2 linked regions of the Coturnix japonica genome follow. The protein of the gene in region 1 purifies or fractionates together with the protein of each later gene. This does not show direct contact. Links are inferred from orthologs where the notes say so. Each region holds a gene or a part of one and is shown on either strand. Other genes may lie near its edges.

Region 1 (4,172 bases):
CTCCGTGCTGCCGTCCGTGTGCATGGCGTGCATGGTGTGCATTGGCTCCGTGCTGCCTCCGTGTGCATGGCGTGCATGGCGTGCATGGCTGCGTGCTGCCGTCCGTGTGCTGGTGTGCATGGTGTGCATGCTCTGTGCTGCCATCCGTGTGCATGGTGTGCATGGCGTGCATGGCTCCGTGCTGCCGTCCGTGTGCATGGCGTGCATGGTGTGCATGGCTCCGTGCTGCCATCCGTGTGCATGGCGTGCATGGCTGCGTGCTGCCGTCCGTGTGCATGGCGTGCATGGCTGCGTGCTGCCGTCCGTGTGCATGGTGTGCATGGCTCCGTGCTGCCATCCGTGTGCATGGCGTGCATGGTGTGCATGGCTCCGTGCTGCCATCTGTATGCATGGTGTGCATGGCTGCGTGCTGCCGTCCGTGTGCATGGCGTGCATGGCGTGCATGGCTCCATGCTGCCATCCGTGTGCATGGTGTGCATGGCTGCGTGCTGCCGTCCGTGTGCATGGTGTGCATGGCTGCGTGCTGCCGTCCGTGTGCATGGTGTGCATGGCTCCGTGCTGCCATCCGTGTGCATGGTGTGCATGGTGTGCATGGCTGCGTGCTGCTCCGTGCTCGCTCGGCCCCGGGGCGCTGCGGGCCGGGCGGGGGGTCGCGGCTGCGGCAGCTCGTGGTTTGAGCCCGGCCCGGAGCGAGCGGCCGGACGTTCAACTAACGGCGCTTCGTGTTGTGCGAGCGAATAAAGGCCCCAACGCTCCCCCCGCCCCCAACCAGCCCCGCATCCCGCACAGCGCCGCCTCCGGCTGCACCGCGGGGACCCGGCAACGGGCAGGGACTGAGCCGGGCTGCGGCGGGGACACGGCGGGACACGGCGGGACACGGCCCCGCTGCCCTGGGAGCAGCGGCTCTTCCTAATGCCGGGCTGGGAGCTGCGGCCATCGGGGCACAGCGGCACCAACAGCGGCCGGAGCAGCCGCCAACACCGGGACACAGCAACGGCCGGAGCGACCCCGGCCCAGGACACGGCAACGTCCGACCGGCCCCAGCCCCGGACGCAGCGGCCGCCGGGCGGTTTCCGTCACTGACGCTGCGTTTCGTTGCAGGTTCGCACAGCGGACATGGGTGGATACGCCACGTCCATGGATTTCACCCAGGCTGTGATCGGGTCCCTGGACGTGTAGGGCCCATCCCCGCCCTCTGGGCCCCGCGACCTGCCCGGTAATTTATTGCTTCCCTCTAATAAAGTGCGACTCTGCAACGTGACGGTCCCTGCCCGCAATGCAGCGCCCTGAGCCCCCCCGGTAACAGCGGGATACGGCTCCAGTACCGGGAAACAATGGGGCACCGGTTATAACACAGCGGGGCACCGGGCACAGCGCAGCGCTGGGGGGCTGCAGCCATGAGGAGCCGTGAGGAAAAAGCAGGAGGAGCAACCGCAGCCCTTTATTGACTGAGGCTCATTGAGACCCCAGCCCTTTATTTGCCGAGGCTCATTGAGACCCCAGCCCTTTATTTGCCGAGGCTCATTGAGACCCCAGCCCTTTATTCACCGAGGCTCATTGAGACCCCAGCCCTTTATTTGCCGAGGCTCAGTCACACGGGGCAGTTCCTGGCACCAGCCGCTCCCGGGGGCTGAGACTGAAGGCAGGAAGCACAGCAGCGCAGGAGCCATGGGGCCAAAGGAGGCAGAGCCCCATTGAGGCAGAGCCCAGAGTCCAACGCCCGGAGCTGCAGCGCTGGGCCCCCAGGGCCTGGATGGATGGTTGGATGATGGGCTGCAGCTGCCCCCAGCAGCCCCGAGTCCACAGTGCAGGGTTGCAGCCCGGCTCAGCTCAGCTCCTCCTCATCCTTGACCTTCTTCTTTTTCTTCTTCTTCTCCATTGGGGTGCCATCTCCCATCAGTTTCCTTTTCTTCTTGGGCAAGGCCTCCTCCTCTTCCTCCTCCTCCTCCTGCAGCCCATTCTGCTCTGGCTCGGTAGCAGCCTCCTCCTCCTCCTCCTCTTCCTCCTCCTGCTCCTTCTTCTTCTTTTTCTTTTTCTTTGGCTCTATGTTATTTTCCTAATGGAAGGCACATGGTGAGGGCAGCCCACGGAGCACAGAGACCAGCTGGTTCCATGTAACCCAGCAGCCCCCACAACGGGGCATCCCCCACATTGGGGCACCCCCAGCCCCAGGGCAGGAGCAGCAGCCACTGCTGGGCAGCCTGGATGTGACCATAGTGCAGTGGGGTCACCCCAACCCCCCCCCAGGACACTCAGAACCTCCCCCTCACCTCCACGTCCTGCACCGAGTTCTCCAGCTCCTCGGCTGCCGCAGCCAGAGCCTCCAGGCGCCGCTTCTCCCGCTTCCTCCTCTTCTTCTCCTTCTTTTCCTGCTTCCTTTTCACCTCAGCCACCACCTCGCTGGCCTGCGGGGAGCAGAGGAGCAATGGGTGCAGGGCCAGACTCCACACAACCCCCCCCAACCTCCACCAGAGCTGTTGGATCAGCCTCATTAAATCAGCTTTTTGCCTCCACAGTGAGTCAGGTGGGAACTTCACATCATGTCCAACAGCCCAGCAGCCCCACGTCCCCCCCACGTCCCCACCTCCACCACAGCCCCACCTCCACCACAGCCTCACCTCCACCATGGCCTCCTTCATCACCTCCAGGTTCTTGCGGGGCGGCTCCCCGGTCTCATAGAACGCCAGCCGTTCCTCCACCTGCTCCCTCAGTTTGTCCCCAAAGACGCTGGTGGGAACCTCTGCAGGGACAGCCGTGCTCAGCAGCTCTCCTTGCACCCAGCAGCCCTCCCCTCCTCACACCCAGCCCAGCACCCAGCGCCCCCCAGCAGCGCCCTGCTCAGCCCAGACGTATCAACATTCACTGTGTGAAATGCTGTTGACGAAAAATCTTCCCATCACAGCAGAGGCCGCATCCCCTGCCCCATCCCATCCCACCCCCCATTCCCCATCCCACCCCCATCCCCATCCCCTGCCCCGTCCCACCCCCATCCCCCCCACCTGAGAAGCAGTCGATGCGGGATGCGATGGTGCACTTGTTGGCCAGGTAGCGGGAGATGCGCCCTTTGTTCTTGGCGGCCGCGCGCCCGATGAAGGTGGAGTGGAAGATGAGGCCGTACTTGGGGGTGTTCCCGCGGGTCTTCAGAGCCCTGAGAAGCCCAACCAGCCGTCAGGGCGGCCCGGGGCTGATGTGCCCCAGATGGGAGCCGCTATCCCCCACTTCCCCCCTCCAACCCCCAGCAACGCCCAGGGGACGCCGCCCACCCGCTCCCATCCCTCTGACCTCGCCGAGCACAGCGGGCACGAGCTGCTGAGCCGCAGTGGTCGCTCAGGGGCTGGGGCTGGCAGCTCACACACAACCGAGGCCGGAGCTGCCCGGTGCGTCACTGCCAGCGGCCCAGGGAGCCGCCATCACTGCAACCACCCCGCAGCGGTACCTGAACAGGGCCTTCTCCGCCCCCAGGATCTGCACCGTCGAGGCCGGGTACTTGGCCAGGTTGGTCAGGCTGCCGGCGTGGGAGATGAGGCGGGCGCCCACCTGTGAGGGGACAGGGGTTAGATACAGGGTTAATGGGGTTAGACACGGGGTTATATACGGGGTTATGGCTGCCCCCACAGCACTGCAGCCATGGGGGGAGCAGCAGCACACGGTGCCAGGCTGGGATCAGCAGTGAGGGGTGTCAGCACAAGGGCTCAGTGGATTGACAGATTCACTCAGACATCACCTCCACAGCCTGGGGGGGGGCAGGGAGGGAAATGGCACTCACCACCTCCCCGATGAGCGCTGAGAGGCTGGGGGCCACCTGGCTCATCTTGGAGCGCAGATATTCCTGCAGGCCCTTGCGGTACTCGGACAGCGAGATGACGCGGCTGGAGAAACTCTCGATGTTGATGAGGTCGATGGGGGAAATGTCCATCCCTGGATGAAAGCGACGTGAAGGAGCCGCGCTGTGCACCAGGAGCACCGCAATCCATGAGGAGCCCAGCACCACACTCACCCATGGAGGAGCGCGACGCCTCCAGGATGGCCTGAGCCTTGGCCCCGTCCATGACGATCTCCTCCAGCCCCTCCAGGCTCTCCTCGCTCAGCTCCTTGCGGTTCCCGATGAACTTGGCCAGCCGACAATACGTGTAGTTCTCAGACACGATCTTAATCAGCTCGGGGAAGTGGTA
Region 2 (5,913 bases), on another chromosome or scaffold:
GCAAATGGCCACTAAGATGGTGAAGGCCCTGGAGCATCTCCCCTATGAGGAAGACTTAGGGAACTGGGTCTGTTTAGCCTTGAGAAAAGAAGGCTGAGAGGGGACTTGATCCAGGTTTATAAATACCTGAGGTGTGGGAGCCATAGTGGTGAGGCTGGTCTCTTTTCAGTAGTACGTGGGGACAGGACTAGGGGTAATGGGATGAAAGTACAGCATAGGAAGTTCTGCACGAATGTGCCAAAGAACTTCTTTACAGTGAGGGTGACGGAGCACTGGAACAGGCTGCACAGGGAGGTGGTGGAGTCTCCTTCTCTGGAGATATTTAAGACCCACCTGGACGCCGAGCTGTGTGATGTGGTGTAGGAGCCTGCTTTGGCAGGAGGTTGGACTCGATGATCTCTGGAGGTCCCTTCCAACCCCTACAATTCTGTGATTCCCGTCTCCCACACAGGTTGGTGGATCAGCAGATCGTGGAGATAATCCGGGAAAGGCTCGGTGCGTGCAAGCACAGGGAAGGACCAAACCAGTTTCAGAACTGCGCTAAGGAGGCGGAGCTGCTTGCACAGGTCACCAAAGCCTATCAGGAGAGATGTGAGTACAGCAGCCTTCACATCTACTATAGCTGTGACAGCACACGGGGAAAGAAGAGCTCAAAGATCTCATCTTTGTGCTAAAATTCCCTCTTGGCAGACACTGCAGATCTGGGCTCAGATGTGCTGGACCCACTAAGCCCAGGCAATGACATTTCAATAAGCACAGTACAAAGGCATTTGATGCTCTCGCAGTACCCAAAGCTGAGTGCATTTCAGCACTGCAGCTTGCACTGCCCTGAGTGCCAGACTTCACCTGGCTCAGATCTAGTTCCTCCTAGCAGCTGAGTGTTACTTTTCAGACACCCCCATGATTACTTTTCCTTTTAGATGGTGATCTTGGTGTCCATGGAAATGCCAGGAAGTGTCTGATGAAGCAGAAGCACAGGATGATAGAAGAAATGAAGGCAAAAGAAAACGCGTCTCAGTAGATCCGGTTATGGAATTAATTAGCACCTCCCTCATTGGTGCTTCTCTCAAATCCTTGTGTTACACCTGTGAACTGTGATGTTCTATAATAAACTTGCAAACCCAAACATCTGCCGTACCATCCATTAGCACAGACTCATTCTTTGCAGAGGTATGTAAAAGAATCTTAGAATTCTTCCTTTTCCAGCTCTGCATTCCAGTTGGCTGCTACCACCCTCTGAACAAAGTCAGCTCCAGGCACCCATATATATGAGCTGTGGAACCCTGGGGGTGTCCCTGCTGGATTTCTCCACTACCACAAATCATTAGGGAGCACCCTCAGAGTAAATGTGCTGTGAAAGGAGTATAAAGGCACATTATATTCCCCTCTTTTTAGTTACAAACCCCGCTCAGGATTTAATACCTGATTAACAAGGGTTAGTGTAAAACATTCTATTCTACCCAGCAGATGTTCAGGCTGCTTCCCACAGATCTGAGCCTACTTAGATCCCAAGCACAGATGTAACCGATCTGCCCAACGCACAAAGCATCCAATCAAACCAATTTCTTGTCCACTGTCCACTTTATTGTCTTGTACAAAAACCACTTTAAGTAGTTGCCACAGCAGCTGCCTGGGTTCTCTGCACTGAGACTCTGGTGTGGGTCTTAGCCAGATGATCAGTGAACTCCTGGATAGAAAGAAAAACAGCATTTCATTTATGTACACCACTGTCATAACCTTCTCAGCATCGTAACCCACTGAAGGAAGAGCTGCATGTTTACCTGGTAAGGAGATTTGGTGAATACAGTCTCTTTCCAGAGGTCAGGAGTCAGGTAACTGTATGTCTTGGAGATGGCATCGAAGGTGGCCTTAGCTATGGAAACAAGTTAAACATTGCACGTCACTGTTAGAGAAATGAGCTCCTGTACACACTTACACAGCTCCAGAAGTGTAGAATTTCAGAGGGAACAGAGAGACCAGAAGAGGATCCCTGTGTTATACTCTTAAAATTCAGTTTCCTTTCTCTCTCCATATACGACAGTTACACTACTTCACAAAAGTGCAACCGCGCAGATTGGGAGATGAGGAGCTTCCAATTTAACACGGGTTTAAGTTACTTCCCTTTCAGTAATGAAAACAGCAACACACACAGAGCTGAACTACAACACAATAACCTCACACTTACCAAAGTTGCCCAGCGTGGCAGTGCAGCCCCTGGCTGATGTATAACAGTCATCAATTCCAGCCATCATCAGCAGCTTCTTAGGAACAGGGGCAGACACGATGCCTGTACCTCGAGGTGCTGGGATCAGACGCACCAGGACAGACCCACAGCGCCCAGTAACCTACAAACACAACAGGTTACAGCTTCCACAGCACACACACAACGTGACTCACATGCAATGCACAGCGAGATGCTCTTACCTTGCAAGGCACAGTGTGAGGTTTGCCGATCTTGTTCCCCCAGTATCCTCGTCTCACCGGGACGATGGATAATTTAGCCAAAATGATGGCCCCGCGAATAGCTGTAGCTACTTCTTTAGAGCATTTAACGCCCAGACCAACGTGGCCGTTGTAGTCTCCGATAGCAACAAAAGCCTAAAATCAAAGGGAAGCTTTCAACCGAGGTTTTGCCATACAGGAGAGCTCTCTCAGCACAACAACTCAGCAGGATCTCATCACAGATAACCAGAAGCACATACTAATATTTAACAGCTACAGCACACTACAATGAAGCAGCTATTAAGTAGCTCCTACAACTTATGAAGTTACAGAGTCTGGTAGGGTGATGCAATGGGCTGCACAGAGAGGCTGTGGATGTCCCTGAAGAATAAAGACATAACAAAATTACCTTAAACCTGGTACGTTGACCAGCACGAGTCTGTTTCTGGACAGGCATGATCTTCAACACCTCATCTTTTAGAGAAGACCCCAAGAAGAAATCGATGATCTCTGACTCCTGTAAGATTCAACCATTTAATCACACATTGCTAAGCTGCAATATCCAAATAACACAGAAAAAACACACAAATCTCGCTGCTCTTATCTACAAACCGGAGTAAAATCAATAGCAAAGTGGCTCAACTTGAGCTTTGTAAGTAATAAATAAGGCAACTAATGCCAGCTTTACAGTTCAGATCCTGCTACAAGCTGCTCACCAGCTCCGAGCATCCCCAGCATCTCACCTTGATGGGAAGGGAGAAGAGATAGATCTCCTCCAGAGACTTGATCTTCATATCCTTCACCAGGCGACCGAGTTTGGTGACAGGAATCCACTACAAAAGAAAGCAGTAAACAACAAAGGGCTTTTACAGCAGCTCCTATGGGGTGGGGGGGCTGTATGGCAGCACTACAGGGCACAGCCCGACATAACCCTGCCCTGCTGCTTCCACTTACTTCCTTATCCTCCGCTTTGCCCCCTCGGGCTCCCCGTCCTCTCCCTCGGCCCCTTCCACGGCCTCGCCCGCGGCCCCTCAGCCCGGTCCCGAAGCCGCCCCTGAATCCCCCTCGGGCGGCTCCTGCTCCTCCCGCAGCACCGGCGTCGTCCGCCATTTGCTGTATAGAAAGAGGTGAATTAGTCAGAACATCGCCACCATCAGGTCGAAATAACCACACGGCGAGGCCGCAAAGCCCGGCCGGGATCCATCCGGAGAGGTACGGCCGGCCCCGAGCCGCAGGAGGCGCCGATGGGCGCGGATGGAGCGGAGGCCGCACGCAGACGCCATTCCATCGCCCGCCATACTTACGTGTTTCAATAGTAGAAGGCCGCCACTTACCGCCGGTAGGTATTTATACCCAGGAAGTTCTCGCGAGAACACCTCTCTGAAGTGTCAACCCCGCGCGCTGAATGCGGAATACACTACAGCGCAAAGGGGGCGCGATCTGCTTACTTATACAGAGTGCGGGGCGGGAGGGCCGGGCGGAAGCTGTGCGCATGCGCCGAGCTTACGCATGCGTAGGCTCAGAATATAAAGCTGCGCACACGTGGAGCTGCGCTCCAATGAGCTCGGACGTAAGTGAGTGGGGTTGTTTGCGTGGGGGTGGGTGGGCGCAGCTCGTTCGGTTCTATTTGATTCTCTTGGCTTTTGGCGGCGTTTAGAGCTGTTCAGGCTTTGTTGAGGGCCTGGCTGTAGGCAGTGCTGATTGCAACACTGGGGGCCCTGGGTTCGAATCCCCTGTGGCGCAGGTGGTAGAAGTGCCGCTCTGCTACACAGAGGCTCGAATCCCGGGGGTTGGACTCGATGATCTCTAAGGTCCCTTCCAACCCGCACGATACTGTGATACTATGATAGGGGGTGGGTACTGAATGAGGGGCCTTTGGCACGGTCTGAAAATCACCTTTGGTCTCCCGTGGCCTCCGGTGAGATAACGGTGCCGACAGCAAAGGGAGCAGCAGAGCGTATCGCCCACGGTGACGGTGTGTGGGCAGTGAAACCCGTGTTCCCATAACGGCAATGAGGGGCGGCTGGGGCGGCATTGTAGGGTGATGTGGGCTGTGTGTGAGCACCGTGTGTGAGCTCCGAGTCTTCCTGCAGGTGGAACAGCCCGGCTGGGATCCTCCATGTGAAGATAGGACCAAAAGCACCTTCATGTGAAGGGCGGATGATGATTTAGGGTTGGAATACTAAGAAAATGTGCGGGATGTGGATAAAAGAACGCTCGTACCAACGGAGCGGAGTGCTTTCAATAAAGATTGACTCGTTTGAACGCTTATTCGAGTCCTGTTGTGCTTTCTTACAGTCCACAAGCCCTGTGTGGGGTCTGAAGGGTGTGGGATGGTGCTGTTAAACAGCCAGGACGGGCAGGAGGCTGCTCCATCCGCCGTCCATTCGTTAACATCCATTCATTAACCACAACACACACACAGAAGCAGCTCCGTACCACGTGACACTGAGGGAGGGCGCTTCCTTACTCTGCTCTTACGTCATCAGAGTGCGCCGGAAGTCCCGCCCTTTAAAACCCGGAAGTGGCCTGCACGCGGAGCGGGGGGTGTCATGGCGGCTGCGGCGGGCAGCGCGGTGCGATTCAAGAGCAAGTGAGCGGGGCTGGGGCTGGGGCGAGCGGCCGAGCTGCGCTGTCTTCGCTTTAACGATCTCATTTCCTTTCTATTTCTTTAATTCCCCCTTTCAGTTATGCTGTGTCGAGGAAAATCGAGCCGTTCTACAAAGGAGGCCGGGTTCAGGTAATGGCCGCTTACAGCCGGGCTCTAGAAGGGGCTGGGCCGCCCCCACGCTCCGCTCTCACCTCCCCATCCTTTGATTCCTAGTTGAGCCGCGATGGGAAGTTCATGTTCTGCCCCTGCGGGACCAAGTTGAACGTGATCGATGTGGAAACGGGAGCTGTGCTGCACAGCCTCGAGCAGGTGAGGGAGCCAGGGAGCCTTAAGCACAGCTCCATGGGATGCGGTTGTGACTGGGGTGTTTTGAAGCCCTCAGGAGTGGAAATAGAGGGGGCTGAGAGCTGCAGACCTGGCTGGTGTTTGCATTGTCTGTCATTGTGGGTCTGTGGGTTAGTAGGAGCTGTGGCAAGGGAAGGCTTGAGAGCACGCCTAAGCAACACAGAGATGAGTAACTGTGGTTTTCTTTTATTGTTTTTCAAGGATGACCAGGAGGACATCACTTCGTTTGTACTCAGCACTGATGGTGAAGTACGTGTATGGCTCTGTTATACTCTGTGTTTTCCTTTCTTGGGCCTCTTGATAAAGCCAGCAAAGACTGAGGAGTGTCCTGCCTTGAAATGTCCCCAGGGAAATCTTGGAGTCTCTCATCTCTTCTGGCTTCAAGTCAGATATAGGAAGTACTGTTATCTTGTTTTACTGTTATTAACAACAAAGATGCATCCAGGGATAGGAATCCATTTTAATCTATTCTGTATACACACAGAGAATGTATTAGTTGACGTTCCATTTAAATC

What was found. The genes of interacting proteins can lie anywhere in the genome.
Region 2: the proteins of NOP56 (region 1) and RPS2 purify together in Homo sapiens (affinity purification with mass spectrometry; 3 studies listed by BioGRID and IntAct, with this or other methods). This does not show direct contact. The link is inferred for Coturnix japonica from reciprocal best matches to the Homo sapiens genes NOP56 and RPS2.

The regions. Positions count from the first base shown.
Region 1 is NW_015439533.1:244,353-248,524, forward strand, and holds the end of NOP56 (nucleolar protein 56), read right to left. Parts: coding exon 3,998-4,172; intron 3,919-3,997; coding exon 3,767-3,918; intron 3,538-3,766; coding exon 3,437-3,537; intron 3,149-3,436; coding exon 3,000-3,148; intron 2,906-2,999; exon of another isoform or gene 2,835-2,905; intron 2,741-2,834; coding exon 2,619-2,740; intron 2,548-2,618; exon of another isoform or gene 2,480-2,547; intron 2,406-2,479; coding exon 2,271-2,405; intron 2,057-2,270; coding exon 1,826-2,056; 3' UTR 1,430-1,825; downstream 1-1,429. UniProt on the Homo sapiens protein: Involved in the early to middle stages of 60S ribosomal subunit biogenesis. Required for the biogenesis of box C/D snoRNAs such U3, U8 and U14 snoRNAs. Part of the small subunit (SSU) processome, first precursor of the small eukaryotic ribosomal subunit.
Region 2 is NC_029529.1:6,100,602-6,106,514, forward strand, and holds RPS2 (40S ribosomal protein S2), read right to left. Parts: upstream 3,579-5,913; 5' UTR 3,553-3,578; coding exon 3,397-3,552; intron 3,276-3,396; coding exon 3,186-3,275; intron 2,960-3,185; coding exon 2,852-2,959; intron 2,599-2,851; coding exon 2,425-2,598; intron 2,346-2,424; coding exon 2,186-2,345; intron 1,874-2,185; coding exon 1,782-1,873; intron 1,688-1,781; coding exon 1,607-1,687; 3' UTR 1,563-1,606; downstream 1-1,562. Other genes in the region: NDUFB10 (NADH dehydrogenase [ubiquinone] 1 beta subcomplex subunit 10), read left to right, coding at 452-591, 921-1,021; TBL3 (transducin beta-like protein 3), read left to right, coding at 4,995-5,035, 5,131-5,182, 5,267-5,362, 5,600-5,647.